Bombyx mori: one gene and its partner. The protein of the gene in region 1 interacts with the protein of each later gene in a pairwise test. Links are inferred from orthologs where the notes say so. Each region holds a gene or a part of one and is shown in the gene's direction. Other genes may lie near its edges.

Region 1 (3,994 bases):
TCTATGTGTGTGCGGGCCGCGTGAGCGAACACCACACTCACGTAAGTCATGACGGGCCTTATGCAAGTTTTGTAAAGTGTCACCTTGTTCCGAAGGGACATTTTACTCCGCTTACAGATCATGGGATAGAGTCTACCGAGAATAAATGCGGCACGGTCACGGACTGTTTTTATATGCGGACGGAATGTCATGGATGCATCCAGGGTTACTCCCAGGTACTTGACCTTCCTGGTCCAGGGTATAGGTTGGCCGAAGAGGGTGATCGGGGGTGTAATATTTCTCCTCCTAATGCGGGAGGAAATAAGCGGAGAGTAGCATCTTTGTTAACATGGCCTCACACATACGTTAGTGTTAAATACCTACTCTTTGCTAGTTTTACGAGAAAAATATATGAGGACTTTTTGGCGGGAGCGCGAGAAGTGAAGTTGTGTGATTTGTTTTATTTTGTCTATTTAGTGTTTCTTCGGGTTCAATTGTGTAATAACGGTGGTTTCTTAACTGTTTAATATCTGTGAAAGTGCACAAATGTGGGAAAATGAAACAAAGACGCTGGACGTAAGTTCTCGGGATCCTCCAAAATGTCCACTGAAAATATCTCAGCAAATGACCACCATTTTACTGAGATTATATTTCATTCCATATCATCTCTGTTAGACAGTTTTATTTGAGGGGATTGGGTTCTGGAGGAGATGAGGGGCTATTTAAAAAACACTGCTTCATCTATACTAATATTATAAAGAGGAAAGATTTGTTTGTTTGTTTGTTTCGAATAGGCTCCGAAACTACTGAACCGATTTGAAAAATTATTTTTCCATTAGAAGCCGACATTGTCCCTGATGAACATAGGCTACTTTTTTTTATTTATTTTTTTTGGTTTCATGTTTCCGAAGCGAAGAGAAGGCGGGTCGCTAGTGGTTAATATAATGATATTGCAAATACTTTGTACACTATTACACCATTACAATATTTCATTTTTATAAAAGCTTAAGATGTTGCACTGTCTGTGTCTAGATGAGAAGTCATTGTCGTCACTGAAGAGAAGACAATCGTCTGTTTTAAACATTTGTAAAGTTTTAAACAAACTGTAACCATACGTATTACCTGCCATTACTTACATATTCAAACTCGAAGAATCTCATCTCATTTCATATAGTTTAATTTAATTTCATTTCTTAATATTATTTTTCAGAAAAAAAAAATATAACGATTCAGCTGTATGGTATGATACCTTTTGCATTGCCAATTGAAAAAATAAAACTACTTTTATACTGACACTGACACATTAGACACATTTGCTTGTTTTAATGAAAGACCAAAATATCAAGAAATTTGTGTATAAATATAATGTATTGTGTACGAAAACAATAAATAATGGCGAACGGTACTCCAGAAAGTGATTTCTCGATAGAATGCTTCCAGAACTACACTGCGCCCGAAGTTTTTGTTCAAGGCCTAGCCGGTATGGTGGATCAGACTGACGTTGAAGTGATTATTCGAGCACAAAAGAATATGTAAGTACGAGCCAATTGAGAATTTAACTTAAACCAAAAAAGCGAATTCCTAATTATTATACCTATTAATTTTTTCAAACTTAAAAATTATTTGTGAGCAACAAATGAAAATCAGTATGAAATTTAATGATACACTCGCTGAAATAAAATATGTATCAGAACTGGTGGTAAGACCTCTTGTGAGTCCGCGCGGGTAGGTACCACCGCCCTGCCTATTTCTGCCGTGAAGCAGTAATGCGTTTCGGTTTGAAGGGTGGGGTAGCCATTGTAACTATACTGAGACCTTAGAACTTATATCTCAAGATGGGTGGCGCATTTACATTGTAGATGTCTATGGGCTCCAGTAACCACTTAACACCAGGTGGGCTGTGAGCTCGTCCACCCAACTAAGCAATAAAAAATAAAACCTTAAAATACAGTATATGGGCATTTTAATTTATATCTCTCATAATTCATTTTTATATTTTCTGCCTCAGCAGAACAAAATTATTTGACAAGGTGATTTTGTTTTGTTACCAAATAAATCCCGCTCGAATAAAGTTTTCTTAGGTTGCAGAGATTTGAAAAAACAACAGAAATGCTGACAAATTGTAATCAGCTGTCGGCCAGTAGATTAAGGGCTGCATCCACAGAGTTCAAGAAACACACACAACTACTGTTCGAAATGAGGAAGGATTTGGAATTCATATTTAAGAAAATTCGGGCAATTAAAACCAAGCTCAGGTTTGTTTGATTTCTTTTTTAAAAAGAAAAAGTTTGTGTTTTGCTTTTATAATAATAAGTAGTATATAGTATAAATAAATTAAACAAGGCTTAAAGGCTTAAAAAAGCCCTCTGTAGTAATCAGTAGTGTTCCCCTGGCATTGTTGATATCCATGAGTGGAGGAGATCTCACACCATCAGATGAGTCATGTTCTCATACTCTCGGACTGTAATAGAATAAATAAAGAATCTGCTTAGTAGTACATTCATAAATTTAAAAAATGTGGTACCTTTTTTTCGGCCATAGTTGGGTAAACAGTTCATAGCTTATCTGCTATTACTGCAGTTTGTAGACTACATAATACAGCAGTGCGGTTTATTATAATAGTATGCAATATCGCGGACGATCTCCAACACGATGGACCGACCTCATAAAACCTGTGACTCACTCCAATATAAATGATTGCTCACACTCTGCGAAACATCGTGCCACATGGCGTCGCATCGCGAGAGCATCAGTATCGCAGGATCCGACTGATGCATGACCACGACCACTCTTCAAGAGTGTACGAATAGGAAGAAGATGCAATAGTTATCTGGACTCTTGTGTAACAAAACATTTACTCTGAGCTCAGGTAGTCAATCTGAAAGTAATGAATCAATAAATTTAGCTTAAGGCTTCAACTATTGAATCATAATTCTGTGAGAAGAATTGACCTAATGAGCTCATGATCATTAAAAGAAAATTTAATAAAACATTATTTTACATTACTCTATAAAAAGACCATCTGATATGCCACAGTTGAGGGAAACTTATTTACATTAAAAAATAATTAATTTTCAGTTCTCAATACCCAGAAGCATACAAAGAAGCGGTTGCAGAGTCGCTTGCAAATCGTAAACCCCTCGTAGATGACGAAGATCTGAAGCCATCAGAGGAGAAACCTGAATCAAAGATGGTTGCTACAGTCTCAACTGAGACACTGAAACCGACTAATTATAATAAGAAATCTAAGAAAAAAGACAATAAAAGCTTTGAATCTAGTGTGGCCGGCTCAGAAAAAAAACCTGCATGTCCAAAAGTCAGGACCAGTAGTTCCTCGGAAACTGAGAGTGCCAGTTCCGGTGATGATAGTAGTACTGATACAGGTTGAAAACTGGTTCTGTTTTTTCATTAGTCAAATCTAAAACATTTATAAAAGCTATGGAGTTTTCAATAACTAGATTTTTTGTTGATTACAATAAAGAATGACAGTAAAATTCAGGTAAAATCATTACTAATAATATATATTAAAAATGGAGACCCAATAGCAATCTTAATTTTTTTTAAAATGCTTAACCAGGTTCCAAGTGGAACAACTACAAGAAAGTCATCATATTTTGTTATATATTGCATAGTTAAATAATCAGTTTTTGCAAACAGAACTTAACTCTAGAAATATCAGCTTGCGAACTGCCTTGTGCGTATATTTGATAAACTATATTGAATCGAAATTTAAATGACAGGCAATGACTTAATAACCTCGACTTTTAATTATTATTTTTATAATAATGTGTTAAGTACATACTGATTTTTCTAGATTTTATAAGATTTATATATTTATGTAATTTTATTAACCAACAAATATGTACACTACGTATATTAAACACTAGAATAATTTTATATTCAAGTGGGATATATAAATGTGTTGATAATTGTTTGAAAAATTCGGTTACCTTTTAATGTTATTAATTGATAATTTCGATGCAGTGATTGAAAAATCAGCCCACAATTAAACTAA
Region 2 (4,107 bases), on another chromosome or scaffold:
TCCGCCATTGAAAAAGAAGCGTACGCCATTGTGGAATCATTGAAGAAATGGAGACATTTACTTATTGGTAGACATTTTAAGTTGGTAACTGACCAACGCTCGGTTTCTTTTATGTTTAATATGAAACATTCAAGTAAGATAAAGAATGAAAAGATTCAAAGATGGCGACTGGAACTTGCTGCTTTCAAATACGATATTTTATACAGACCGGGAAAAGATAACTATGCTGCTGATGCACTATCCCGAGTTTGTGCCACTGTAGAAACACGTACTGCAAAACTTTTCTCGCTGCATGAGGCTCTTTGTCATCCAGGGGTAACAAGAATGTTTCACTGGGTTCGCTCTAAAAACCTTCCCTATTCTATTGAAGAAGTCAGAACAATGACAAAATCTTGTCGAACCTGCTCTGAAATAAAACCTAGATTCTTCCGAAATACCTTTGATGACCAGAGGAAACTTGTTAAAGCGACGGCTGCTTTTGAACGCCTTAGCATAGATTTTAAAGGACCAGTTCCAACAAATAATAATAACAAATTCATACTTACCGTGATTGACGAATTTTCACGTTTCCCGTTTGCATTCCCATGCTCAGATGTAAGCTCGAAAACAGTGATTAAACATCTTAACAACTTGTTTATAATATTTGGCATGCCTTCTTACGTTCATTCAGATCGCGGAACAGCATTTCTTTCTGCTGAAGTACAGGAATTTTTACATGTTCGAGGTATTGCCACTAGTAGAACTACAGCTTATAACCCTCAAGGTAACGGTCAAGTAGAAAAATTGAATTCTACTCTTTGGAGAACGATTCTTTTGGCGCTGAAGACGAAGAATCTTTCGGTAGAAAATTGGGAACAAGTATTACCACAAGCCTTACATTCAATCCGATCATTACTTTGTACAACCATAAATTGCACTCCACATGAAAGAATGTTTAGACATCCTCGAAGATCTACAAACGGCACTTCTGTTCCATCGTGGCTTACAAATTCTGGACAAGTCTTGATGAAGAAATTTAATCGTACAAATAAATATCAGCCATTAGTAGAAGAGGTTGAATTGATACACAGCAATCCTGACTTTTCATACATTCGGCTTCCAGATAGCCGAGAAACAACAGTGTCGAATCGTCATCTAGCACCATTGGGTTCAGAAAGGGTAGATCTGCGAATAGATAATGAACACACTATTGATTATCATAACGTCGCAGAACCACTTCCGGAAACAGAAGACCAAAACTTGGAGATTCCTTCATCTAATGAAACGGGACCTGTGGTACTTGATAATAACAGAGAGCTAGAGACAGAATTACCATCATCACCACCGCCGGAGCCAACACTTCGTAGATCTGGTCGCGTCCATAAAACGCCAGGATTTTCAAAAGATTATGTTTTAAAATAGTGCGGGAGAATGATGTAAACTTCTTAGTTGAAATTATCAGCCATAAGTTGACGTCATTGTCAATCTGTTTTATTCGTTATTTGTCAATGTATGTACCTAATGTAATAAAAGCAAATTTTATTGTTAATTTTAGCTTATTAAAACCTTATATTCAGTAAAGGTTTTCTCTTATTACAATATATTTTATTTTCCATTTTGGATATGTGCAAGACGCGTCATGCTAAGAGGTTAATAATCCATCAATATTACATATTTAAACAGAAACAATAAAATAACAAAACAATTTGACACTGGGTGTTGCCGCCAAATGCTCCCAACCAAAGATATTACAAACGCTACGATAAAGATCAACGGACTAACTACACCACTGAACTACTATAGTTTAGACTGATCGAACAAACGAAAGTAAGCCTGTCAAATGTCATTTCGACAAAATTCAGTGTATTATCTATGTTTCGCCACTTGAACTTGAACCAAAATCATAGATTAAACGACTAATAAAATGGCATGTGATAATACAAAAAATGGTGGTGAAAATGAAAATGGATCTAATAAAAACATAGAACCTCCAGAAGATGATAACAATGAAGATATAACAGAAGGTAAATTGAAGTAAATTTATAGCGTCAAGCGTATTCCCCAGCACTAAAGATCAACAATAGCAAAACTGTTTTCAATTTCAATTAATTGTAAAACTTTGTGTATCTATTACTATCTATTCACATGACATTGGTATTGGTACTATCCCCAGATTTCTGCAATTAATTAAAAAATATATGAATCAAACTTTAAAATTAATGCCATTACCAATTTTTTCAAATAAATAAGTTTCAGATGATGTTACGGTGTTAGTAAAATTTTAATTATTATGAACAAAATTATAAATATTGATGTTTTAAAATTTGATTTCGTTTTTATTTATTTTTGTTGCTTGTAGCACTTTCATTCCTATATTTAAACACACTTTTACTATCATGTTCTGTGACTATCAGTGTAATGGGATTATTTAAAGTAATTAAATATTTCTAAAATAGCAGTGAAAATGATATTATTATGCATAAGTTCATAATATCCAATGTGTATCCTTATACCATTCTGCTGCTGGTCATTTTATTCTCTGAATAAGTCTTCAGGAATTTTTGGTTCGTATTGTTTTTGTGGCATTGTTGTGTTCTTTGTAATTTTGGGTTAGCATTCCATTACAAATTACTTGTAACTCATACAGGGATGAGCCATTTTACCAGACATTCTCATGTCACATATATCTGGTAATACTGGGTCTCCTAAGGAATGGATTCTTTTGTATACTGTATTGTCTCTTCCACGAGTTTTTTTTTAACAGAAATGATGGTATCGTTACCTATCATTCAATCATTCTACTCACGAAAAAGTCTTAGGTTCTGGTGAAAGGATTCTTTGTCAGCTGACATTACTAATAACCTAGAAGTTAATGATATGATGATGATCACACTATTATGGGAGCTGCATATTCATCTGCCAAAGACAGCAATGACTTATACTGACATAATTACAATTTAATGAAAATCTCTTTCAAAACCTGTTTGGATCTTAATCCAGCTTTTAAATGAGTAAATTATTTCTTTATTTTAATATAAAAACAATCCAGAAGGATAAAATATTATGAAAATAATAAACCTATGAGAATATATAATTTTAAATAACTTATCAAATCCTTTACAGAGTATGAATTATTAGAATCTACATTAGATGAACTTAATTCTGCATTGGATTTCTTGGAGCGTAAAAATGATGATATTCACCAACAATTGAAAGAGCTTTTGCAATCCAATATTGCAATTAGACAAGAAATGCGTGAAGAAAATAAGGAAGTCAACAACAGTAATTGAAGAAATGCAAATACAGCACTATTTTAAATTTAATTGTGCAAATATACATGTTACCTAGTGTAATTTGTTTGTCTCAAAAGTGTAAAATAGAAATTGTTAATCTTAATATTACCATTTATCAATATTTAGTGACCAATACCACAAAGTGAGCGTGAGTTTTAAATAATGTATTATCATACATTTACGATATTTAAGTATGAATAATTATTTATCTTGTTTGCACCATTTAAATGTTATAAGTTGCATATTTATGTCAATAGGAATGAACAATAACATTTAGTTGAGCATTGTTCACAGAAAAAAAATGGGTCAATAAAACATAATATAACATAAAACAATCTTTAATTTACTCATAACTACAAATTATCCAGGTAAAACGTTTAAAAGATGACTTGGACAGTTCAAACTTTAATGACCAGTTTTTTTTATGAATCTTAATCCACAGTATCCACATGAATGGTCACCTGGTTTATCCTGAAAACATATAAGAATTAATGATTTCCATTACCACATCTGTACCAAGAAACCTATAGAAATGCATTTTATTTGATCGCTACTTCTTGTTTTTGCAGAAAAAAACATGTCTTCTAGCCTTTTCTGCCAAACTTCCAAATGTTCACCCCTAATTTCTGTCCAGTTCTCTGGTGGTAGGTACTCTGTTGTGACTCAGCTCAGGCTATTACAATTGTCCTCATGTAACAGTCATGAGTTTCAGTTAGAAGGTTAGGACACAAAGAGCAAACAATGAGACATGAGATAGAGTGGATGATAGAAAACAGATTATAAACCCCAGTAATCACTAAACACCAGGTAATCTGTGACCTTGTCTAGCCATTAT

The links.
Region 2: the proteins of kxDL motif-containing protein CG10681 (region 1) and UPF0184 protein AAEL002161 interact in binary tests that used the Drosophila melanogaster proteins (3 or more experiments, as listed by UniProt). The link is inferred for Bombyx mori from reciprocal best matches to the Drosophila melanogaster genes CG10681 and CG14818.

Annotation. Positions count from the first base shown.
Region 1 is NC_085126.1:11,815,292-11,819,285, reverse strand, and holds the start of kxDL motif-containing protein CG10681, read left to right. Parts: upstream 1-1,194; 5' UTR 1,195-1,371; coding exon 1,372-1,511; intron 1,512-2,060; coding exon 2,061-2,234; intron 2,235-3,057; coding exon 3,058-3,367; 3' UTR 3,368-3,994.
Region 2 is NC_085110.1:8,466,271-8,470,377, forward strand, and holds UPF0184 protein AAEL002161, read left to right. Parts: upstream 1-1,477; 5' UTR 1,478-1,903; coding exon 1,904-2,003; intron 2,004-3,102; coding exon 3,103-3,269; 3' UTR 3,270-3,607; downstream 3,608-4,107. Other genes in the region: probable NADH dehydrogenase [ubiquinone] iron-sulfur protein 6, mitochondrial, read right to left, coding at 3,678-3,743.